6 linked regions of the Macaca mulatta genome follow. The protein of the gene in region 5 interacts with the protein of the main gene of each other region in a pairwise test. Links are inferred from orthologs where the notes say so. Each region holds a gene or a part of one and is shown on either strand. Other genes may lie near its edges.

Region 1 (4,227 bases), on a different chromosome or scaffold from region 5:
CTTCTCTCCCTGTCTCTACCCCTTCTCTGCTTTTCTAGGGGAGGGGCAAGAACCCCGATCTCTTATTTTGCCCCCTCTTATTTTTGCGCCCTGACGTCTTATTTTTGTGCCCCCTCTTATTTTTGCACCCTGATCTCTTATTTTGGCACCCCAATACCTTATTTCTGCTCCCCGACCCCTTTCCTGCTTTTCTGGAGGGCAAGAACCTCCGAACTCCTTCTCTCTGTGTCTCCACTCTCTCTTTTCTCTGGGCTTGCCTCCTTCACCGCAGGCAACCTTCCACCCTCCATTCTTCGTTCTCCATAACCTATGTTCTCAAGAACTTAAACCTCTTCAACTCACACCTGATCTAAAACCTAAACGCCTTATTTTCTTCTACAATGCTGCTTAACCCCAATACAAACTCGACAGTAGTTCCAAATAGCCAGAAAACAGCACTTTCGATTTTTCCATCCTGCAAGATCTAAATAATTGTTGTAAAATGGGCAAACGGTCTGAGGTGCCTGACGTCCAGGCATTCTTTTACACATCGGTCCCTCCCTAGTCTCTGTTCCCAATGCAACTCGCCCCAAATCTTCCTTCTTTTCCTCCCACCTGTCCCCTCAGCCCCAACCCCAAGCATCGGTGAGTCTTTCTAAAAATCATCCCTTTCTACAGACCCATCTGACCTCTCCCCTCCTCGCCAGGCCAAGCTAGGTCCCAATTTTTCCTCAGTCTCTGCTCCCGCACCCTATAGTCCTTTTATCACCTCCCCTCCTCACACGGGTCTGGCTTACAGTTTCGTTCCGCGACTAGCCCTCCCCGACCTGCCCAGCAATTTCCTCTTAAAAGTGGCTAGAGCTAAAGGCATAGTCAAGGTTAATGTTCCTTTTTCTTTATCCGACCTCTCCCAAATCAGTTAGCATTTAGGCTCTTTTTCATCAAATATGAAAAACTTAGAGGCCCAGTTCATGGCCCGTTTAGCAGCAACCCTGAGACACTTTTCAGCCTTAGACCCTGAAAGGTCAGAAGGCCATCTTATTTTCAATATGCATTTTATTTTATTACCCAATCTGCTCCTGACATTAAATAAAACCCCAAAAATTAAATTCCAGCCCTCAAACCCCACAACAGGACTTAATGAACCTCGCCTTCAAGGTGTACAATAATATAGTAGAGGCAGCCAAGTAGCAACTTATTTCTGAGTTGCAATTCCTTGCCTCCACTGTGAGACAAACCCCAGCCACATCTCCAGCACACAACTCCAAACACCTGAACCGCAGCTGCCAGGGGTTCCTCCAGAACCTCCTCCCCCAGGAGCTTGCTACAAGTGCCGGAAATCTGGCCACTGGGCCAAGGAATGCCCGCAGCCCAGGATTCCTCCTAAGCCGTGTCCCATCTGTGCGGGACCCCACTGGAAATCGGACCGTTCAACTCACCTGGCAGCCACTCCCAGAGCCCCTGGAGCTCTGGGCCAAGACTCTCTGACTGACTCCTTCCCAGATCTTCTCGGCTTAGCAGCTGAAGACTGACTCTCTTTTCGGACTCAGCCTGCCTGCACCCAGGTGAAATAAACAACCATGTTGCTCACACAAAGCCTGTTTGGTGGTCTCTTCACATGGACGTGCATGACACTTACCCTTATTTATTGTTTCATTAGAAGCTTTCTCTGATTTTTACAAAAGGGAGTATGCAGCCCATCCAATATTGAATTCCTTTATGGAGAAGCTCTACAGCCCAAGGGATCCAGCATTAGGATCATTGAAATTTTCTGTTCTGAGTTACAGCAGGCTTTGCTTTAACATCATTGTTTTACTCAATACTTCCCCTCCCACGTCCTCCTTTTCCAGGCCAGCTCTGGCACACAGTGGGGAACTAATAAATATTTGTTGAATAATCAGGAAAGTCATTTAAAAATGATTTTTAAATTGTTGATTAATTTCCTACATCTGGAAAGTGGGAAATTTGTGTGCAAACCATGAGATCATTTCACTTAAACCTTGGTGATGAGTTTCTTTAACTTCTCTCTTAAAGTGAAATTCTATTCTGTGCATGTTTGATTGTGTGTGTGTTATGCACGTGTGTGTACGTGTTTGCTGCATGTGTGTGTCCTTGTTCATAACGATTTACCCTTTCCTTAATTTAACCCAACAGACCTAAACATGTGTTACTAATTGTTTTAATTATTACTCTTCTACCAATTCAGTCTGGAGTTAAAAGAGCATAAAGACGCCAATTCAATTATGTCACTCTTCCCCCTCCCCATTCACACCCACACCTATTCATTTCTGTTCAACCATCTGCTAGGCTTAACTGACTTGGTCTTTTATATCCCATAAATGGCATCTTGCTGGGATGCCTCAGACTGGACAAGGCACCTCCCAGTACTTGTGCCTCAGGTGGCAGGGACAGAGGTCCCATGCCTTCTCTTACTCTGAGTTAAACATAGCAGGACATTACCTCTTTGGATCCTGATCACAATTCTCCAGATGCCCAGTCCCAAAATGATGCCAGTCAGTAGCCCACACACGACAGCCACCAGCACCCTAATGTTCCAGGCACGGCAAGAAGCCATGGTGAAGCCAAACCACAAATCCACTCCTGGGTGAGAAACAACTAGCTTCTTTTCTTCTTGAGTTTAATCAGAAACTTCTAAAACAGAAAAATAAGTCCTCCCCTCAGTGATCTGTCAGATGGATGTCTTTATATTTTAGGACTTTTGAGGCTAATGCAGTAGGATGCCGTTTGAATCTCCTAATAAAACGTGCATACTCTGCTTTCAATTTCCTCATCCTTCACTGAAGGAGAACGTGAAAGAAGTGATTAGAGTTATGGGAATAGGGAGATAACTCCAGGCAATAAAGAAGAAGGGGAGGGACTAGCCACAAGGGTCAAAGAGTGAATGTCCAGACAAGTCACAGAGTGAAGCAAGGGAACAAAACCGAAGAAACCAAAGAGGAAATCATGAAGGCAGTGGATGCCAGTGGTCACCTACGGCTCGGCTTCCTGTGTTTTTGTCTTGGGAGGGTACAGCACGGATAGACTGGCAGGTGCTTCAGACCACACAAAACACTCTCTCAGGGAAATGAACTAGTTTGTCAACAAGAGGATAAATGGCAATCACCACATGTGATTTTAATGCTTTCATTTCTTTAAGGAGCCTACATTTTGACAGATGCAGTTGGTGAGTGGGCATACTGGCACAGGGTGGGTCTTGAAAAGCACTAAAGCCCAGCATGATAACCCATCTGCTACAGGCTGAATTGTGTCCCCTCCAAAATTCATATGTTGGAGTCCTAACCTTCAGTACCTCAGAATGGGGCCTTATATGGAGATATGGTTATTACAGAGCCTATCAAGTTAAAATGAGTTTGTTAGGGTGGTCACTAATCAATATGGCTGGTGTTCTTATAAGAAGAGGAAATCTGAACACAGACATGAATAGAGAAAGATGATCAGAAGGACAGAGAGAGAAGACGGCCATCTACAAGCCAAAGAGTGAGTCCTCAGCAAGAACTGGCTCTGCTGACACCTTGACTTTAGACTTCTAGCCACCAAAACTGTAAGACAATAAATTTCTGTTGTTTAAGCCATCCAGTTTGTGGTACTTTATTAGAGCAGCCCTGGGAAGCTAATATATCATCAGAGTAATTACAAACTGGTGTCTCTCTATAGATGCAGCTCTGACCCTCCCCTGCCCAGGCTCCCATGTTCTCCTTCCCTATCCTCCACCCTTACCTGAAAGAACAGATAAACGAACATTCACCTCCTTAATCACAGTTTTGTTCTGGTAGAGAGAACAGGTGCTCTGGTCTTCTCTGGACACTCCCTCGCTTCATCAAATCCATATTAAATCCCTTTAATGTGTTCGAATTGGTACAAGAAATGAACAGGGTCCTCAAAGAACTCGTATTTTCTCAGGGGTGAGATACCTAGATATAGCCACCTATAAGGCAAGTCATAACTGTTAAAATAAAAGATATCAAATTTAATTATTATGGAGCGTGGGTGCTCCTTGACTTAAAATAAGATTACATCCCAATAAATCCACCTTAAGTTAAAAATATCATGAGTCAAAATGCATTAAATATACACCTAACCTGCTGAACATCCTAGCTTAGACTAGCCTACCTTAAAGGTGCCCAAAACACTTACAATAGCATAAAATTGGGCAAAATCATCTATCACAAAGTCTGTTTTATAATAAAGTGTCGAATGTCCCCTGTGATATATTGAATACTGCAGTGA
Region 2 (4,051 bases), on a different chromosome or scaffold from region 5:
AGACTCTCTCTTAGAAGGCAAGGAAGGCCCCGTGGGCGTCCCAGGCCCAGGTCCGGCTCCGCCCCCACCCAGGCGGTGCCGGCGCTCACAGTGTCCTCGGTGGCGCATGAAGCTGTCTCGCCACATGAACTTCTTGGCGCAGACTCCGCACTCGTAGGGCTTGAGACCTGTGTGCGTCTTCATGTGCTCAGTCAGATGGTGCTTCATCTTGAACTTTTTGTTGCACACGGGGCAGTCAAACGGCCGCAGATTGAGATGCATGTTCACGTGCCGGTCCCGCATGCTCTTGTGGGAGAAGGCCTTCCCACAATGGCACAGAAAGATCTTATTCCCGTCCCCGCTGCCAGTCCCTCCAGGGACCCCCCCAACGCTACCCGGCACACCCAGGCTCCCCACCGACGTGCCCCCCCCAGTCACTGCCCCGTGTTCTGCTTGGTTCCCTGGTGGTTGGCCAGGAGCCTGTGAGGAGGAGGATGAAGACGACGGGAAGACCAAGATCTGGTTGCCCTGCATGTCCAAGGGAAGAAGTGGTCGAGGAGGGTGGGAGGGTGCATAGGAAGAGGGAGTTGGCCCCCCTGAGTCATCAAGACCTGCCCCAGGACCCCCACCCTCGTATGGGCCAAAGTCATTGGAGGACTCACAGAAGTTAACCTGCTCCTCTCCCTTGTCTGGGGGCTCACTCAGGGTACGGACATCACTTATGCTGAGGGTAGCCTCAGGCCCTCCCCCTACTGGAACCCTGGAGCTACCCCCTAGCTCTTCATCTTCATCATCCTCACAGGTCAACACCAGGTCTTCCTCTTCCTCTTCCTCCTCCAGATCTGGGTCTTGGGGAACCAGCGGTGCTGGTGCTGGGCAATTACCACCTCGCTTCACGTATACCCAGTGTTTCTGTGGCACGATGCTAGGGGGTGTGTAGGTGGGTCTCCGGACCCCAGTCCCAGGAACCACTGCCCCCCTCCCATCCCCACCATCATCGCACAGCTCATCTGCCTCCAGCAGCAGCTTTCCAGATGTGGCCCCCCCACTGCCAACGACAGGGGCTGGGAACACAGGGCCACCTCCTCGACGCTCCCCACTGCCCACTGCAGAAGCTGCAAATGCCTCTTGAGAGGAAGATGAGAAATCAGTGGACTCCCTGGGGCTGAAGTAGTTGCTGCTGCTGGGAGATTGATTCTCACTGGCCCGGCTGGAAGCATGGGAGCGTGCAGAGCCCATGGTAGCAGGGGCCACAGTGCCCCCACTCCCGGATGGGACCCCAGCACCAGGGACAGTGACAGAGGTGGCTGCAGCAGTAGTGATGGTGGTGGTAGCTGAGGCCCGGCCTTCTCGGAGTAGTTCAGTGCACTTGTCCACAATGTGCCACATTTGGAGCACAGACCCCACTGTGAGGAAGTTGACAATGTCAGCAGCAGCCATGCTGAGGCGGCCAGTGTAAGCGGAGGCTAGGACAGTCTCAAAGGCGCCTGGGTCCATGACACTGGGCAGTGAGATGGAGGTCATGCCCTTGAGTAGGACCTGATCATGGAAGTAAGGGGAGGAGGCAGCCAGGACAGCCCGATGAGCCCGGAACTCACGGCCCTGCACTCGGATAGACACATCGCAGAGCTGGCCCTGCAGACGCTGCTGATTGAGGGACTCCAGGAGGGCACTGGTCACCTCAGGGAAGGACACATGTACCACAGCAGCTGCTGGCAGGGGTAGTGGGGGCGGAGCCAGCGACAGCGGCAGGGGAAGTGCTGCCCCACTGGGAGACAGAGGAGATGGCTCCATGTTGTGGAGGGAGGGGATACCCCCCCAGCCACAGGAACAAAGAAAGGAAGAGGGCGGCCGGGGGGGTCTCTGGGAAGAAAAAGAGAAAAGAATAATGATAACATCTTATAACGACACAGCCCATTACAACTCAAAAATATGTTCACACCCATTATCTGTGTAACTCCCCACAACAGTGAGGTAGGTATTCCTCTCAACCCCATTTGACAGATGAGGAAACTGAGGCTCAGAAAGATTACAAGATTATCCAAGGTCACACAGCAATTGGCACCGCCAGCAAACACAGGTATCTGACAAATCCTGTGCCCTTTCCTTGGAGGTTAGAGAAATAAGGTGCTCTTAGCGGGTGGAGTGGCTTCCTTCGGAATTACACCCTATTTCCCATTTACCTGGGAGTCTGACATTCCAAAATCTACCTTTTTGGTGTTTTGCACCCACTTTTTGGGAGGGGGCAGGGCAGCTCCGCTACTGAAAACCAACTCTTGCTCCATCTCCCCTCCATGCTATGCCCCGCAAGCTCTCTCGTCGACCACGCCCCCTTCACCCCAGCTTCTCTCTAGCCCCGCCCCTTTCCAGGCCCGCCCCCGTGCCCCGCCCACTATCGGGCCTTTCGACCCCGCCCCTTGTCTACCTCCGCCCACAACGGACCCCGCCCCCCCCGCTCCGCCCCAGGCGCTACCTCGGCCACTTCTCCCACTCGGAAGGCGCCCCCCAACCTCGCGCGTCCCCGCTTACCGGGCCGCGCGCCCCCGGGCCCCCCCCGCCCCTCACTCGGCGGCCAGAGCAGCAGCCTGGGCCCCTCCCGCCGCCATCTTGCGCCGACTTCCTCCGCCCTCCGCCTCCGCTCCGCCTCCCGCCCCTCTGCCTTTAAAGGCACAGCCGGCCACCCCGCCCGTGCCGCTGGGCAATACTCGGCCGACTCGGCCACTTTGCCTTTAAAGAACCGTCGCCTCATTCCACCTTAAAAGATCAGATTCCCCCTCCTCCGCTGGGAACTCAGGACTTGGTTCGGCCGAAGCATTTATTCCCCTTTAAAGCTATAAGCCTGTCTTTTCCCATTGGCGATGGGTTCAGGTATCGTTCCCCAGGCTCCGCCTCTGAGCTGTGACCATTAGCTGGTTGGTGGGATCTAATCGCCCTTTTCCTAGCTCCTTACAGCCCCCTGAAGCCCCGCCCCCTTTCTCCGGGCCTGGATTGGCCAAATAACCTTGAGTCGGCCCCTCATTGGCTTTTTCACTCCTACTGCACGAAGTGAAAAAGTAAAGTGCGTTAAGGCGGCTGAAGCACTTAAAAAAAAAAAAAAAGTACAGCCTGAACAACATGGCGAAACCCTGTCTCTACAAAAAATACAAACAACAAAAACAAAAAATTAGCCAGGTATGGTGGCACGCGCCTGTAGTCCCGGCTACTCGGGAGACTGGGGCATTATCACTTGAGACTGGGAGGTCCAGGCTGCAGTGAGCTGTGATCGCACCACTGCACTCTGGCCTGGGCGACACAGCGAGACAACAACAACAAAAGACCAGGCTAGAAAGGACAGATCGGGACTACCCCGGGGATATTGGGCTAACCCTGAGCAAGGGGACAGCTAATGCCAATCTGTAACAGTAGAAGGACAAGAAAAAGACAGTGATACAGTAAGAAAAGAACTTTATTATTAATGTTTCTGTGTAAAACTTAAGCTTTTTTTTTTTTTTTAAAGAAACACCACCAAAAGGGGATTAGCTTAGTCCATCCCTTCCTCAGTCATCTGCTTCCCACATTCCTCCACATGCTATCCCAAAACATTCTGGAGGCAGGGAGAAGGGGAGGCAGCTAATCAGAGTCTGAGAGCACGATGATCTCTTCTGGATCGCATTGTGTGGCCACACTTGTCTGCAGGGAAGTCAGAGACAAAGAGTCAGAGATCTAGAGTACAGGAGAAAAGAAACAGACAGGAGGATTTACAGGATAAAACGGGTGGGAAAAAGAGACAGGATGTGGCAGGTGCAATATTCAGACAGAGCAGCTGAAACAGACAATGAAAGAGAACAAATTATCAGAGGAAACACGGCCTCCCCTTCTTACCTTGTAAGTACTGGGCCGAGGAGGTTGTGATTGGGGGGTTTGGGACAGCTGGGCTGGAGAAGGGATGCAGAGGGAGCTGGTCACCAGGCCATGGCTGGGAGAGTCCACCCTCGTGGAGGAATCAGCAACCGGAGCCAAGGAAGCCAAGGGGGAAGGTGGGCTGGGCAGGGTACATATCTTTTTCCCATTCTTCTCATGCACTGACCTTTGC
Region 3 (3,500 bases), on a different chromosome or scaffold from region 5:
GTGGTCATGGAAACGCATAAGTGGATCCTAGTCCTTGCCATCCTTGCCTGACAAATGCTTTCCTCTCAATTCCTGCTAGGAGCAGGCAGTCCAGACCTGGCAAGGATCCCATCCTCCCTGACCCAGGCTGCCGGACACCTGGTCACTCCGGGTCCGCACTCCACAGGCCTGGCCCCAGATAGCCACAGCCACTCACCTCAACTCCTGGTTTAACACTTTGATCTTTCCATTTTCCTTTAGTGAGTAGTTGGCCTGGATGCAGCGTCCCTTCTCAAAGGTTGTTGGGATCTTCTCAATTTCGTACCATCTTCCGAAATACTGCAGAGACAACAAGCAGAGCAAAACCTGTGGTTCTCTGGGGACCTGCAACCTTTTCTGCACTGTTGTGCAGAAGTTGAGCCCTGTCCTGGGGAAGCCAGACAAAAATGGGCCTCATTGTTCCCAGGGGCAACTGGGCAAGAGATTAATTGAAATGAGAATCCGTGACTAGGATGGGATGTGTGGGCGGGGGGGGTGAATGCTGAGCAAAGCGCTCTTCTCAGTGTCCCCTTCAGCCAATATTGCTGTGACATTCTAGACTCTGTAAAAAAAAAAAAAGGGGGGGGGGGGATGATGGGGCTGGGTGCGGTGGCTCACACCTGTAATCCCAGCACTTTGGGAGGCCAAGACAGAAGGATCACAAGGTCAGGAGGTCGAGACCATCCTGGTCAACATGATGAAACTCCGTCTGTACTAAAAATACAAAAAATTGGCCGGGCGTGGTGGCTCACACCTGTAATCCCAGCACTTTGGGTGGCTGAGGCGGGTGGATCACGAGGTCAGGAGATGGAGACCATCCTGGCTAACTTAGTGAAACCCTGTCTCTACTAAAAACACAAAAATTTAGCCGGGCGTGGTGGCGGGCGGCTGTAGTCCCAGTGAGCCGAGATCACGCCACTGCACTCCAGCCTGGGCGAGAGAGCAAGACTCTGCCTCAGGAAAAAACAAAAAAAGAAAAAGAAAAAAATAAAGGGGGATGATGGGAAGTAACTTTCTTCTGAAACAGTGCATGATTCTACAAGTCATCTTCAAATCTTGTGCAAAGTCAGATGTGTTTGCTGTGGGGAGCTAGGACTCCAGAGTGCATGGAACTTTCTTCATCCACCCTGAATAGGGAGTTGGTCACCAAGGCTTTGGGGAGGTGATGGGGATGAGGCGCTGTGTCTGTCCTCTGCCAGGGGGCTTGGCTAGCGCCACAGACGCTCCCATGGCCTGCGGGCAGCAGCTGATGGACAATCGGAGGAGCATGCTCCACCTGTCCTCAGAGGGTGCCCAGTGTGACTGACCCTGACGGCCCAGGGTGACAGCTCATGGATGCTCCCTTTATTGCTTCTGTGCTGACTCCGACTCACTTTCCCACCTGCTCTTGTGCGTCCTGGGATCACCCCGAACCTCTCTGCCCCCAGTCTTTGTCTCAGCAGATTGTCCGCTTTGGGGAAACCCCAAATAAGATAAATATGTGTCCCAAGGTGTGCAGTGGAAATTAAAGCAGCATAATTAAATTGAATCTTGTAGAATGCTTGTTCACATCAGAGGCAGCAAAACAAATGGGAGGTTCACCTTTTACCTTATTCGGGTCAAAATTCTCCTGCACTGGAGGCGAGGTGCACTTCCCAAGACGAAATTCTTGTCCCTCTGCTGCACCGAAAAGGCCAGCCAGTGCGGAAAGCAGCAGCAGCAGCATCACCATCTTGGGGCTGGGTGGCTGGAGAAGGGACCTGGAGTTAGAGGAACACACAGCAGCTGGGGTTGTCATTCTGAGCCTCCTAAGTCCACACAATCATGAAGCAAGAGTCCTGTGCCCACGGGCCCCTCTGTGGGCGGTCTCTCCTCTTCTCTCCCAAGCCCATGTGAACCCGCATCCTGCAGGGGACACCTGCCTGTCCGTATTGCTGTGAGGCTTTCCTCGGAGCCTCTGCACCTCCACCAGGGCACTCTCCGCCTGCTATTCCAGTTTGTTGGATTGATTTTGCACCCCACTCCCACCTGATTATGCATCTCCCAGGGTAGGCACCGTGTCTGGTTCTCCTCAGAATCACCCACGGGCCTCAGAGTGTCGGCTCAGTAGATACTTGTCAAATGAACAGAAACAACGCGGAGGGGGCTGTGTAAAGTGGGGGACATGGAGGGGGCTGTGTAAAGTGGGGGACATGGAGGGGGCTGTGTAAAGTGGGAAATTAAAGCCTCCAAGCGAACCATGAAAGACACAAAACCAAACCAAACCTTGCCCAACACTTAGTGTCTCCGAGATTCTTCGGGGAGATGGCTCTGTGACACCCCTCCCCCTGCCCTCAGCTTGCTGGCTGCTCTACCAGCCCAAGAGTGCGCTTGGAAACCTTAACAGGGAGCGGCCTGCTGGGGACCCCAGGGTCACCCAGCCAGGTTCAGATCCTGACTCTGGCCATGCTAAGTATAACTGTGTCCAATTTATGCCTTAGCTTCCTTGTCTAGTAAGTGGGAATAATACTCATTCCTAGTTCATGAATTTTTGTGAGAATTACATGAGATAATATCGAGAGAGTACTTAGGGGAGTGTCTGACACAAAGTAAATGCTCAGTCAATGCTCCTTACTGTTATTATCAAAAGCAGAAAGATGATGGTTTCGCAGGTTTCTGTTTCTTTTTTTTGTTTTCTTTCTTTTTTTTTTGACATTCTGTTGAGGGTTTTTGTTTTGTTTTGTTTTGTTTTGAGATGGAGTCTCACTCTGTCACCCAGGCTGGAATGTACTGACGCGACCTCGGTTCACTGCAACCTCTCCCTCCCGGTTCAAGTGATTCTCCTGCCTCAATCTCCCGAGTAGCTGAGATTACAGGTGCCTGCCACAACTCCTGGCTAATTTTTGTATTTTTAGTAGAGATGGGGTTTTGCCATGTTGGCCAGGCTGGTCTCAAACTCCTGACCTCAGGTGATCCATCCGCCTCAGCCTCCCAAAGTGCTGGGATTACAGGCCTGAGCCACTGCACCTGGCCTGTTGAGGGTATTTTTCATCGATGAAGTTCATTAAATCAGAGAAGGACTGTCGGCTGATGTGTAACTGTGCAACAGGCATTTCAACCCCAAGAGTCCTTTGGCAGCAGAAGCTGGCTTTGAAGCGGGGCAGCAGGGCAGGGAGACGGAGGCCGGGAAGACGGAGGCTGCGGGGAGACGGAGGCTGCGGGGAGACGGAGGGCGGGGAGACGGAGGCGGCGGGGAGACGGAGGCGGCGGGGAGACGGAGGCTGCAGAACTGTGTGCAGGTTCTGGGTATTTGAAGCTCCCCCGTTTCCTTCACTGACTTGCTGTCAATTTGCTCCTTTCCTTATGACTCCTTGCCTGTAGCTTGCACATGAGCTATTTCCAGCTCTCTGCGTTTCTCCCTGTAATGATGATGACTGATGCAATGCAAGCAAAATGTTCTCAGATCTGAGCATTTCAAAGGATGTGTCATTACAGGAATAATTATAACTGCTTTCTTATGAGTC
Region 4 (4,127 bases), on a different chromosome or scaffold from region 5:
AGAACCTAGGAACTGGCAGAAACTAATCTAAAACTGACTTCTCCATTGTAATCTCAAGAGCCTCCCTCAGTGCACTTACCATAAAAAAGCAATCTACCACCTATGACTCTTAATTTTTATTATTTTTTTTAATACAGAGTCTCTCTGTCGCCCAGGCTGGAGTGCAATGGGGCAATGTCGGCTCACTGCAACCCCTACCTCCTGAGTTCCAGCAATTCTCCCTGTCTCCGCCTCCCGAGTAGCTGGTATTACGGGCACCGGCCACCACACCTGGCTGATTTTCTCGTATTTTTAGTAGAGACGAGGTTTTGCCATGTTGGCCAGGCTGGTTTCGAACTCCTGACCTCTGGTGATCCACCCGCCTCGGCCTCCCAAAGCGCTGGGATTACAGGCGTGAGCCACCGCGCCTGGCTTTAATTTTTAATTTCTATCACAGAACAAACATTTGCCTCTGGAGGCTGCCAAACTGTCTCTATGACTGTCTCTCCTAACTATTTTCAGATACTGCCAAGGCATAATGTGTGAGGACTAATACAATTCTTTGTACTAATACTTTGTTTTCTTCAGTGGCAGTTCAGACAGAGGGTACAAAAGCTGATCTTTCAGCTGGGTAAGGTCTATATTAAAAATTTAAACCTGTACAGGATTTCTAATCACTTAACACACATTTTAATACTAATGGGGAAAAAGCTTGAACTAGGTATAAAATGCTGTGTAAATCCTTGATTTAAAAAAAGTTTACTTCACTTGGCCTGTTTAAATACTGTACTTTGGCCCTGCTCTCTTGTCCCACATGTGCTTAAGTAAACAAAAATGTATTAACCATTTCAGCTGATATAAGATTTCAGTAGACACCTTGTGTTCACATTTATATAACTAGAAGCAAAAACTCTGTAAGCTATGTATTCACTTGGTTGGATTAAATGTGTATATATACACAGAAGTACAAACAACTAAGAAATAAATTACGTAATTCAACAACAAAAATCTCCTATTTCTTATCTCTAGTCCAATGAACAAACTACAAACCAAAGCACTTCTAAAATATCTTCCAGCTACCAACCACTGAAATCAGAAGTATATATTTTTAAGTGTCAATAAATCTCAAACACTTAGAGATTAAATTAAGGAGAAAACCAGCTTATTTCCAGACTGCCAACCCTGTGACTTTAAGGCTTGGATGTACTCTCTCCAATACCAGGTCACTTTAGGTCTCTAATTTAATTATTTATTCTTATTGTAGTCACCACTTTTCTTTTTTTAAAGCTTAGTACTAATCAGTGCACAACCAGGATGTACAGTGTTGCTCAACTCTATGATATACCAACAGGTTCCATGAGTCTGGAGTTTATTAACATAATCCAAAATGTATGCTATAACCACACTGTAAAACAAGGGCTTCTAAATCAACTACCCTACACAAAGTTCTCTGAAAACAAATTTCTAAAAATCTTTAACTTGCATAACTGGCACATGGGGGTATGAATCTACGACTCTTCTAAGTTTTTTCTCCTCAGTTCTGCTAAGTGAAAACACAAGTCATTATCAACGTGTACTTGAAAAGCAGAAAAAAAAAAAAAGAAACGAGAGACATGCCTGCTGGGTATAGGAGCTCCACCCCCAAAACTCAGGGCGAATATCCTTACCAGTCTTTAATAAGCTCTGCATTCTGGTCTGTCCTCATCCCACATACCTTGTTAATCATGGAAAGCAACTCCGAACTAAAACTGGTTTAAAAAGAGTCCGAGGTGTTGCTTATTCGTCCGGACTTCAGAGACTGGAGGGTTGGGACTTTACATGCCCCTAAACGTGGCCTTACGGAGAGCAATACAGCGAGGGAAAAAGGAGATCAGTGGCCAAAAAAAAAAAAAAAAAGGAGCGTGGGGCGGGGGCAAGGAAAAGCAAGCTGTGAATTACAGAGCGTAAAACTTTAGTTTAGGTCCCAACTTCAGAAATCTCCCTTCCCTGGTGCCCCAACCACCCCAGGAATTAGGAGACTCAAAAGAGGTTAAGGGCCAGCGCTGATCGGTGACAAATGTAACGATTTTGAAAAATCCAGCCAAAAAAAAAAAAAAAAAAAAGGCTGCGAGGAGAAATGGCATGGAAGAAAGATGAATGCTGAGAGCTGGTCGCTGGGGCGCCAGCGGGGACCCTGGTTTCGGGAGAAGAGCTGGAGGTGCCCGCAGCTGCGGGGGGGCGGCGTATGCGTAGGGGCGGGGCGGGCCGTCCCAGGTGCGGCGGCCGAGGCGCGGGGGTCCAGGCGACGAGAAGGCTGGGCAAACTAACCCGGTGCCCAGAGGCCTCCCCGTCCGAAGGGGGTCGTGCTTGAGCTGTAGTGGGTCCTTCCCCTCCCCTTCCAACTCCTCACCCGGGCCGTAGAACTTGCTGCCTTTGGTCACGTCGAAGACTTTCCCATTAACCGCGAGCAGGATGCGCGGGTTGCGGGACCCGTCGTACTGGCGCAGCTGCTCCAAACTGAAGTCCCGCTTCTTCATGCGAGGCAGAGAGGCAGCGGGGCTCTCCTCGCCCGCCCCGGCCCCGGTCCCCAGACCCCGCCGCCCCCAGCGCACCCACAGCCGGTAGGCCCCCAGCAGCACCAGCGCCACCAGCGCCACGTTCAGCAGCATCTCCCCGCCCCCCGTCAGAAGCGCCAACGCCGCCGCCGCCCAGCCGCCCCCTTCCGCTGCCGCTCCCGCGCCGCCCGGACTCTCGCTGCCGCCGTCGCTGCTGCTCTCGCTGCCACTCCCCAGGGTGCCTAGCTTCACGTCCCCATCACCCGCCGCCATCACTGCCCGCCAGCGCCTTCCTCCTCCTCCCCGCCCCCTGCCCCCCCCAACCCCACGGCCGGCCCCGCCCATCTGGGGGCCTCCCAGCCAATAACGTGAGGAGAGGGGGCGGGGTCAGGGCCGCTCCTGATTGGGTGTTGACGGGGTAACGTTGTCTCGGATCTCTCCCGCCGCCTCCCTTCTTTCGCTGGCCGCGCACGCGTGCGACGCCCCGCCCACCTCGCCCCACACTTCCCTGCTCTAGCTGCAAGCCTCCGCTAGGTTAAGTAGACGAGGGGGGCGGGTCTGAAGAGAAGATGCTACGGCGGCCGCTCGGACGCTCTTGGGCGGGGCGAGACCACAGCGCGTGCGCGGGCTCCTGAGCGCCACGCGCTCTCCTCTTGCTCCGTAACCCCTACGGGAGGCACGCCCCTCCAGTTCCCTGGCTCTGCGCGTGCGCCCCGGAATCGCTTCGCTTCCCAGGCCTGGGTTCGCGTCCGCAAACTCCCGCCTTCTTGCGCTCGCTCCGCCCGGGAGCTTCACGTGCGCCTTGGCGGCTACGGCGGGGGCAGATCCGGGCGGGACGCCTGGCGGAGGACAGGTGGCTTGTGGGAGGCTGGGGCATAGTTGAGCTGCAAGGCGCAAACCCATGAGGGGCATCTGCTTTTTCCCAGGGCGCTGTGGCGTTTTTCGGGAAACTGGCAGCTTGGGCGCGCAGACCGGGAAGCGGCGAGAAGTTTTGGCGACGAGCTTGGGTCTTCCTGGAACGGAGAGAAAGCACGGAGCCCGCACCGGGCTTCTCTGGCATCGGCAGTCTACGTGCTCCTCGCCCTGGCACCGAGCAGCCACTCCCCGCTGGGTTTGGCCAAGGCTGCTCTTGTAGAATTTTAAAGGATTTAGAGTCTCGTTATTCCTTGAATCATAATCTCTGCGGCCGTAGGGAAGTGGACAGGTTGAGGTCGTCTTTCTATTCGTCATTCACTCTTATTTGCAGATTCTGTTTTTTGTACTTGGGACGACTCACACCTTAAAATTCTGGTGTGAAAAAGTGACCTCTGAAGTCTCACGCACTCGACTCGTTTGACGTGTTCTCTCTTGCCCTTGTCTGTTGTCTTGAGTCTCATAGGATAGGTTTGAACCTTTCACTGTCGGTTTTGGAGGAGCCACTGAGGATACTGATGGGGCAAGTGACAGGGTCGATACTCTTGTAGAGAGGTTATATAGCAGCCAGATGTCTGAAGGATTAGAGGCAGGGGAAAGAGTGGGAAATCAGTAGGCTAGGGTATTTGTGCGTGAGGTGAGGAGACTCAGAGCTAGTGGAGACATTAGAGCAGGGGTTGGCAAACATTTTTTGTAAAGGGC
Region 5 (4,193 bases):
CAAAACTGTCTTTTTAAAGTCCTTCACTTAAAAAGAAAGTTTTGAATGATTTAGGATAAGTCAGTTAAACGATTTTTTTCTATCACAAACTAAGCACAAGTAGACTGTAGATTCTAAATGAGTCTCCTCAGTGTTGAGCTGTGCACTTAAATACACAAAGGTTTCCATCAAGCAAACAATTTACCTTTGACTAAAAAAATAATATTAAGGAACCAGACACCAAATGTCACCTCCCAATCCCCCCCATTATCTCCGTCTTTAAACTGAAACACACAACAAACTATTGGGCATTTAAGTACCAGGCATTCTCTCACAGCAGTGTGTTTACTCAACCACTCTCTTGGCCTAAACCTCCCCTGAAATGAAAAACGAGCCTTTTCCTTAAAAATTTCCTAAGGGAGGGATGGGGCACGTAGAGAAGGCTTCTTTCCTCAGACAGGGTTGAGTCTCTGTTATACCATCTATATACCTTTTCTGTTTCCCTGGCTAGTCTTATCATTTTTACTGGCAACACAAGAACAACGTGTTCTATAATCATAGCTGTAATTCTCCAATACCCCCAAAAAAGGAAATATGAGAGTAAGTCACTGTGTAGGGTTTTTGCTTGTTTTTTTAAACCTGCTTCTCCACTATTATTAGTCTCTTACTATAGCAACATAACAACTTCCCTAAGGAGAAAAAACTTCAAACTGTGGACATTTCCTGGCCTAAAACTGTCCTAATGGCAACTTACACATACTTATAAGTCCCTCATGGCAACTTACACAGTTATCCAGTAGAGGAAATGTTCACTGTAAACACGGCCAATCAAAAGATAAAAACGAAATATTAAAAAACACATCATACAGGCTTACATTAAATTATCTCGAGATAATGGCTGAGTTAGGACTTTTCATAATTCCTCAAAGGTTTTCCCCCAGCTAAAACTACGTAAAAAAATCACACAACTTACATAAACTTGCAATAAAATACATTCACTGCACCTTGTCTTAAAACCAAATCCTTACCCAACAAGTAGCTCGCTTACACTTACTTCTATTCAAAGAAATTTGTAAATGCACTAAAAAGCTTGCAATGTAGTTACGCAATATTAATCTCATAATTCCAGAATATATTTTAAATTCCTAAAACTGAAGTTTTTCCTATGGAAATAATGTAGTTGGTCTTCTCTTGGACTCAACCTCACACAACAATAAAGGATTTAACTTTTTCTTTTAGCACTAGAATTGCTATGCACCTCACAAAAATTGTTCTCATTCAACAACTGAAATACAAGACATAGACTTCCAAAACGGGCCTCACTTTACACTTAAGATAGGAAGAAACCTACTTTCTATCAGATGTTCACACTCTTTCAGTATTCCTTAAGAATACAGAAGAAAAAAAAAAATCTGTACAGTTTTACTCTCTTTCCTAAAGTACAACACATATCGACTAAGGAAAGGCACCAAACAGCCCCTGGGATTCTTCCAGGATCACCAAGTCAGACTAAAAACTTACCACAGGCAGCGCTACAAAATAAAAACCTACAAAGCTCCAGAGCTGGGTCACACCTTATCAGGCCTCTCAGGATCTGTCGGCAACCGCAAACGTAAAAGCAAAAGTCACACGCACTGAAGGTTTCTCAGCAGAGGAGCGCAACCGAAGGGCTAAATAAAAGCACGCGGGTGGCACACTGAAATGTCGTGGAAGGCAGGAAGCCCCGCTTACTATGAACCTACAACTCTCCGCTCGCAGCTGACGCATCGCTGCTGCCCGCACGCGCCTGGGTCCGTGCCAACAGCACCGGGCAGCCCTCGCCAGGCACCTCCAGGGCTTCTCCGCCTCCCCGGCGCGCCCTACACCTGACGGCCGAGTTCTAAGCCGGGCGGAAAGGTGAGAAACGACGCGCTCCGCGGAGCCCGAGGGCCGGCTGCTCCCAGCTCTGCCCGGGCCGGGGCAGGGGCCGAGGGGCGGTCTCACTCCCGAGGGGTCCCGCGCCGCGCCCTGGCCTCCCCGCGCCGCTGACAGCCGGGAGCGGGCGACGGACGCAGCTTGCGCCACCTCCAGAGCCCACTCCCCGCCGCAGCCCAGAGCGCACGCCCGCCGATGCCCACCCGCCCACGCCCCGCCGGAGCACGCCGTCGGCCTCGGGGACCAGGGACGCGGGCCCGGGCGGACGGCGGCTCGGGCGGGACCGGACACCCAGGAGGCGCCCCCGCGGGACCGCAAGATGGCGGCGGCGGCGGCCGCGCCAGGGCCCGGCTCCCGTCCGCCTCGCCCCGGCCGGCGCGCGCACCGCAGCGCGGGCGGGCGGGAGGGGACGAAGCGGGCCGGAGCAAGGGGCAGGCCGGCCGAGGCGGCGGCGAGGCAGCAGCCGGGAGAGGGCAGGCGCCGGGGCGTGGGGGAGGGGGCGCTCCCTCTGGCCGGGGCGGCCGAGTTGTCCTCCGCGCCCCCCGCCGCCCGCCAGCCCTCCGCGCGCCCCAGCCAGCCCTGGGGTGTCCCCGTCCTGCCTACCTTTGAATTTGAGGTCTGTGGGCGGGTCGAGGACCAGGATCTGCTCGTGCTTCGCCATGGCCCCTGAGGCGGACGCCATCGGAGAGACAGCGCAGAGCGGGGGCGCGCCCGCGGCGGCGGTTTGCTGACTGGGGGCGGGGGTCGACGGCGGCTCGGCCGAGCTCTAAGACGAGGCCAGGCTCGCAGCTCCCGAGCCCTGACGCCTGTCGCTGTGTCGCCGGTTCGGTGGGCCACCCGCTGGGTCACCAGCTCCGGGTCTCACAACTGACTCAACCCCACACCAGCCGCCACGGCCACGCGCACTGCGATCCTCGGCGCCCCACGTGACGGCCTCTGCGTGCCTACGTGCGCGCCCCGGCGGCCAGGAGCCACTAGCGCTCGTCCCGCCCTCCAGGCCGGCCTAGCGCGGCGCGGGGCTGCTGCGCCTGCGCGCTCGCGGCTTGCCGCGGCCCCGTGCGCAGCCCAGCTGTCAAGGGAACGGGTGTGGAGGGAGGCGGGGCAAAGGTCCGCGGGGCCGACGCGATGCGCAGCGCAGGGCTGGCGGCGCAGTCCTCTGTCACCTTGAGCTGCGAATACGGAACTAGAGAAACTGCTCTGGCAGCGCTTAACAGTCTTCCAAGTGGGAATGCCCAGTGGAAGGGACAAGAAGCAGTGGGGAAGCGCCCACTCACTACAACTCCCGGCATGCCTTCTGCGGGGCGGGGCATTCGCCGAGGGCCTGGCCCTTTGCGGCCCTGCGCGGTGCTTGCTGGGAACTGTAGTAACGGCTGTTTGTGGGCGGAAAGGCGAGCTAGGTCCGTTGGAGGCGAATGGGGTGGGGTTCGCGGACGCTAATTTTGGCTCAGAGCGCGTCTAGTTTGCGCTAGAAAAAAAACTTTTGAAGACTGAAACGAGGCCCATATGTTAGAAATATACTAATAAAATCTGCCCTGTGGAGAACAGGCTGGGGGGATGTGTCCGTTTGCTCTAATTCTATCCGTCCCTCTGTTGGCAGGGCTGCATTCCTTGTGGTATCCAATCCAGCCTCTCCTGGTTCCTGAGTTGTCTCCAGTGATGCAAAATCAGATAAGGAAACACATCTCGTCTAGGAAGCAAGGGGAAATATGACAAAGCACACAGAAGCTAGAAATAAAAGTCCAAATCTACACCATCGAACCCAATAACCTTCTTCAGTTTTGATTAATGATGGATCCAAACCAAAACAGTTGTCACGTTCACATGTTAGAAACGAAACCCATCTGCATCACTTATGATAGGCGGTAGTAAACTGAACCAAATGAGAAAAATCCCAGCAGCAAACTTGTTGACAAAACTTTAGCCGATTGCCACGGTAGTCTGGTACAGGAACGTCAAATGAAACCAATGTGCTGTAAATAAACCTTTATTGTATTTTATGATACGGTTTGAATTTAAATCCCTAGGAAGCTCCACGAAACAAAAGACATATTGATGCTAACGCTGTGGAGCAGCACAGTTTGTCTAGAAAATAAATGAGACGAAACAGCAGTCTAGATGTAGGCACCAAGTCCAAGTTTTCATGTGGGATCCAGGTATCAGAGGAATCGCTGGAATCGTTAGCCTGCTGGAATCGCTAGCCTGGCATTCACAGAAGATCGTGCCACCCAGGAGGAATGTGTCTTCAGCCATGTGGTTCCTTGGAGTGAGAGGTGAAGCCAGCCATACTTCTGGGTCCGGTG
Region 6 (4,030 bases), on a different chromosome or scaffold from region 5:
TTATGGAGAAGAAGATTTTTGGAAGTTCTTTTTCTCTATCATCTTTTTCGTGATGTCATTCAAAGTTGAAACATGTAAAGCATTTACAACAATATTCGGCACATAGGGTTACGTGTATGTGCCATTATTATTGTTGTTGTTGTTAATAATAAATGAGAGGCCACATATGAACCCGCTTCCTCCCTCCAGACAAGAATGGTCCCAGGGGGCACAAGAAGGGCATATGGGGAAGGAGAAAGATGTCCATTTGCAGAGAAAAGAGAGGGAAAAAGGCAGGAACATATTTTGGAAGATGACTGGGAGAAAGGTAGTGCTCAGTGTCACAAGTGTGGGAAGTATGGTTCATAGCTGGTTAGGCTAAGAAGGCAAAGAGGTAGATCCTGGTCAGGCTCAAGGCCTGTTGGTCCAACAAGCAATGCCTGTTGGTCCCCTGTAATTGGTCTAGTCACCTCTCACCAGCCTGTCTCTTCCTTGTGTGGACTCTGCTCACTGCCCAGTCCTCTGCTCTGACTTTAAAAGGCAGATGGTTCCAAGGACGGGTGAACAGGACTGTAACAGCACGTCCCTATGCGCGGTCCCTGAAGAAGCTGCCCTGCCCTGCCCTGCCCAGGGGAGTTGGCTGGAGGGATTGCCTGTTTATGGGTGTGCTTGGCAGTCGCCAAGGGGCATGGGCATCCGGGCTATGCGATACCCTGCCAGCACATGGCCACACCTGTCACCCTCAGCCCTGGGACTCGGTGTTTCTATAACAGTTGGGCACTTACGAGTCTTCTGGGCGTCCAGTGGGCGTGAATGAGGGAGGGGATCTCTGGAGCAAGCAGCAGGGAAAGAAGAGGGAGCAGAGATATGGGAGGTTGGGGTGTTGGCTCTTTGGTTCACATGCAGACTGCAAGATCTTTGGGGACTCAGCCCTAGTGTCCTTGAAGGACAGGTTTCAAGGAACACCAAAGTCTGGTAAAAGAGGGAATAATCCTGAAAACCAGGTGGGACATCACACTGACATAACCCTGCTCCACTGCCACTGTGGATGGGCGTCTGTAAACCTGGGAAGGGATCTTACATTGCTGAGAGTCAGTCCCATATTTTATAGAGGAAGAAGCAGAGGCTGAGATGATCTTTGTCCTCGCTGGATGGTCATTTGAGGGTAATGGGCAATGGTGACTAGATCCCTGGCCGCCTGGTCTCCACGTAGCACCCTTTCCTCTAAAGTGCTGTATTTGCTAAGAATCCAGAAGCCTCGGCATTTGCAGAATAGAGGCTAGTCATGCAACTACCAGGTACTCCTGAAAAGGAGCTTACCTTCGACATGTGGTTCGGTCACATGGTAGGAAATCGAGGAATACGCTTAAATTACAGGGTGAGGAAATGCTTTGTAACTCTGACAGGGTCTGAGCTAACGGAGGATGCATAATGGACTGACGTCCTGACAAAAGGGCGGGCGGAGGCCAGGCACGGTGGCTCACGCCTGTAATCCTAGCACTTCGGGAGGCCAAGGCAGGTGGATCACCTGAGGTCAGGGGTTCAAGACCAGCCTGGTCAACATGCCAAAACCCCGTCTGTACTGAAAGTATAAAACTTAGATGGGTGTGGCGGCGCATGCCTGTAATCCCAGCTACTGGGGAAGCCAAGGCAGGAGAATCACTTGAGTCCAGGAGGCGGAGGTTGCAGTGAGCCAAGATTGTACCACTGCATTCCAGCCTGGGCGACAGGGCAAAACTCTGTCTCAAAAAAAAAAAAAAAAAAAAAAAAAAAAGGTAGGGGCAGGTGGCTCACCCACAGCCACGTCCTGCTTCACAGGCATTCAACCTGTGCAGCTTCTCCAGGCCCAGGGCCCACAAGGGTCCATGCTTGGATTCATGTGCTGCTATCGCTGCCTTGAAATCCTTGGTAATTTGGAGCAAGGAACCCTGCATTTTCATTTTGCACAGGACCCTGCATATTCCGTCGCCTGTCCTCTCTCCTCCCCTGCCTTGAGGCCAGGGACAAACCTGCCAGCTCCATGGTTTCCCCCAGCCTGAGGACACAGAGCCACCCAGCATGTCTTTGCAGGGAGAGAGTGACCAGATGGAGCCCAGAAGTCCCTGGGCTGGTAGAGCTGCGGTTCCCGTCTTGAGCCTGCCCAGCTCTCTGTTCTGGGCGAAAAGCCCCAGGGTCCAGCCAGACAGAAATAGCTGGGACAAACGCCCTCGTCTTACAACCCAGCCCCAGCCACCAGCACAGCACATGCAATTCAGATCTTCTTCCCTGGGCAGAAAGGGCTGGGCGGCTGCCCTATCTCTAGCCTGAGAAACCTGCCTTCCTTGGCATGGGCAAATTTGTCCGGGGGACGACGGGGAAGGGCGGGAGGTGGGGATCGGGACGGAGGGTGGGTACGTTACCCCCGGGCAGGGTGATGGGCCCGCAGGTCTTGCTGTCGTCCATGGGGATGCGCTTGGTACAAATCCGCCAGAGGCCGAAGTGGGCCGCCTCGCAGGTGGTGTTGTGGTGCTCCATGTGGGGGCTCAGCACAGCCCAGTGGTCGGTTACCACGGCCGTCATGGCCAGCACGATGCCTGCCAGGATGCAGAAGAGGGTCACGCGGACCTTCAGCGTTTTGGTCTGGGACATGGTGGTCGCCGAGGCGTGGGTGCCCTGGGCAGGGTCCGGCGGCTGCGTCTCCTCCGGCAGGTGACAGCCGAGCTGGGGGGTGGCGGTGGTTGTCGAGTTGGGAGTGGCCACTAAGTTTAGTGTGCCTGGCTGAGCCAGAGTGGGCTGGCCCTGGGGCTGAGGGACGCGGGATGTGCTGAGCAGCTGCCCAGACGCGTCAGGGGCCTGAGGAAGGCTGCTATTAATGCCCCTCTCCAGGCGTGGCACCGGGGACGGCTTCTGCTCGGGTTTCAGCGCTGTCTGCCCCTCTGGGAGCCAGAAATACCCCAGTGGGGGGCGGGGCAAGGAGAGAAGGCTCTGGATGGTGGATTGAGGCCTCTATGGAGTAGCAGCTCAGGGTGCCTGAGTTGGGAGGGGGCGAGGGGTGGGCAGCAGGGCCCCAGGGGTGGAGATCTGTCTGCTCTGGGCTGATGGGAAAGGGCACCCCAGGCCAGGGGAGGAGACCAGGAGCTGCAGGCTGCACGGCCGTCCCGGGCTCCCACATTGTAAGCCTACTACCGGCGGGGCAGTGAGTAGGTTCTCATCCTGGGATCTGGGGGGCCTAGGATTCTGTCTAGGGACATCCCAGGGACCCTGTCCGGGGCCTGTGGAGTCCACCTCTCAGGCAAGCGTTTTAGCCACAAACCCCACAGCATCCCGCAAACCACAGGAAGATTTTAGGTGGTTCCCAGGCCTGGCCTTACCCAACTCTGATCCCTCCACGAGAACATTACTTCCTTTTCAATTCTCTTTCCATCCCCAAAACTGGGTCCAGAGCAGAGCTCCGTTCGAGGTCAGTGTCATTACTGCCCGCAAAGTGTCCTCTGAAACAAAGCGAGAACGGCCTGAAGAGGACGAGGAATCCTGCTGGACTTGGTTGTTCTGTTTTCAGGGCACTGTGTTTGGTTTTGCCTTCTACTAACAGCAGGTGATAACGATTTTCCAGTTACGTTTTAATTTGCAAAATATGTGTGTGAGTGAAAAAGAACGAATAGGTTGATTTATAGGGGATCATCAGGAGCTCATGGGTGTGCGGATATGGCAGAGAACACAGAAAGCCTGGGATCGACCACCCTCCGAGGGTCCTGTGCGCCTGCCTGGCCCCCAGGCCTGTCCCCGAGGCTGCGGCCTCTACGTCTCTCCTGGGTTGTGCCATCTCTCCCTTCTCAGCTCACTGGGTGGCCCTTTTTGGGTGTAGCCGAGAGGCTGATGCATGATCAGGAATAGCCTCCTGAGCTGGGTGGGGCCTTGAACTTCAAAATTCTTGCCTCAGATTGACACGATTTACAGAGACTCTGCCCATGTGGACAGAAACATTTCGGCCTCCAGCCTTGGAATCACAGAAAGTTCATGATGATGATAATAGGAGCAGTGGCTCATCTTCAGTGAGTGCTTACTATCTAAC

Evidence for each region.
Region 1: the proteins of VAPA (region 5) and ADGRG7 interact in binary tests that used the Homo sapiens proteins (3 or more experiments, as listed by UniProt). The two-hybrid records come from large-scale screens. The link is inferred for Macaca mulatta from reciprocal best matches to the Homo sapiens genes VAPA and ADGRG7.
Region 2: the proteins of VAPA (region 5) and ZBTB22 interact in binary tests that used the Homo sapiens proteins (3 or more experiments, as listed by UniProt). The two-hybrid records come from large-scale screens. The link is inferred for Macaca mulatta from reciprocal best matches to the Homo sapiens genes VAPA and ZBTB22.
Region 3: the proteins of VAPA (region 5) and APOD interact in binary tests that used the Homo sapiens proteins (3 or more experiments, as listed by UniProt). The two-hybrid records come from large-scale screens. The link is inferred for Macaca mulatta from reciprocal best matches to the Homo sapiens genes VAPA and APOD.
Region 4: the proteins of VAPA (region 5) and PGRMC2 interact in binary tests that used the Homo sapiens proteins (3 or more experiments, as listed by UniProt). The link is inferred for Macaca mulatta from reciprocal best matches to the Homo sapiens genes VAPA and PGRMC2.
Region 6: the proteins of VAPA (region 5) and CACNG1 interact in binary tests that used the Homo sapiens proteins (3 or more experiments, as listed by UniProt). The two-hybrid records come from large-scale screens. The link is inferred for Macaca mulatta from reciprocal best matches to the Homo sapiens genes VAPA and CACNG1.

What each region holds. Positions count from the first base shown.
Region 1 is NC_133407.1:182,983,380-182,987,606, forward strand, and holds the start of ADGRG7 (adhesion G-protein coupled receptor G7), read right to left. Parts: upstream 2,801-4,227; 5' UTR 2,555-2,800; coding exon 2,440-2,554; intron 1-2,439. UniProt on the Homo sapiens protein: Orphan receptor.
Region 2 is NC_133409.1:148,971,354-148,975,404, reverse strand, and holds the start of ZBTB22 (zinc finger and BTB domain-containing protein 22), read right to left. Parts: upstream 2,801-4,051; 5' UTR 2,734-2,800; intron 2,601-2,733; exon of another isoform or gene 2,509-2,600; intron 1,843-2,508; 5' UTR 1,774-1,842; coding exon 1-1,773. Other genes in the region: DAXX (death domain-associated protein 6), read right to left, coding at 3,589-3,648, 3,841-4,051. UniProt on the Homo sapiens protein: May be involved in transcriptional regulation.
Region 3 is NC_133407.1:3,201,951-3,205,450, reverse strand, and holds part of APOD (apolipoprotein D), read right to left. Parts: intron 1,758-3,500; 5' UTR 1,730-1,757; coding exon 1,607-1,729; intron 319-1,606; coding exon 197-318; intron 1-196. UniProt on the Homo sapiens protein: APOD occurs in the macromolecular complex with lecithin-cholesterol acyltransferase. It is probably involved in the transport and binding of bilin. Appears to be able to transport a variety of ligands in a number of different contexts.
Region 4 is NC_133410.1:137,052,446-137,056,572, forward strand, and holds the start of PGRMC2 (membrane-associated progesterone receptor component 2), read right to left. Parts: upstream 2,801-4,127; 5' UTR 2,787-2,800; coding exon 2,369-2,786; intron 1-2,368. UniProt on the Homo sapiens protein: Required for the maintenance of uterine histoarchitecture and normal female reproductive lifespan. May serve as a universal non-classical progesterone receptor in the uterus.
Region 5 is NC_133423.1:80,874,930-80,879,122, reverse strand, and holds the start of VAPA (vesicle-associated membrane protein-associated protein A), read right to left. Parts: upstream 2,801-4,193; 5' UTR 2,576-2,800; coding exon of another isoform or gene 2,497-2,575; intron 2,264-2,496; exon of another isoform or gene 1,501-2,263; intron 1-1,500. Other genes in the region: uncharacterized protein LOC114673840, read left to right, coding at 3,019-3,290, 3,491-3,536. UniProt on the Homo sapiens protein: Endoplasmic reticulum (ER)-anchored protein that mediates the formation of contact sites between the ER and endosomes via interaction with FFAT motif-containing proteins such as STARD3 or WDR44.
Region 6 is NC_133421.1:76,795,624-76,799,653, reverse strand, and holds the start of CACNG1 (voltage-dependent calcium channel gamma-1 subunit), read right to left. Parts: upstream 2,801-4,030; 5' UTR 2,608-2,800; coding exon 2,379-2,607; intron 1-2,378. UniProt on the Homo sapiens protein: Regulatory subunit of the voltage-gated calcium channel that gives rise to L-type calcium currents in skeletal muscle. Regulates channel inactivation kinetics.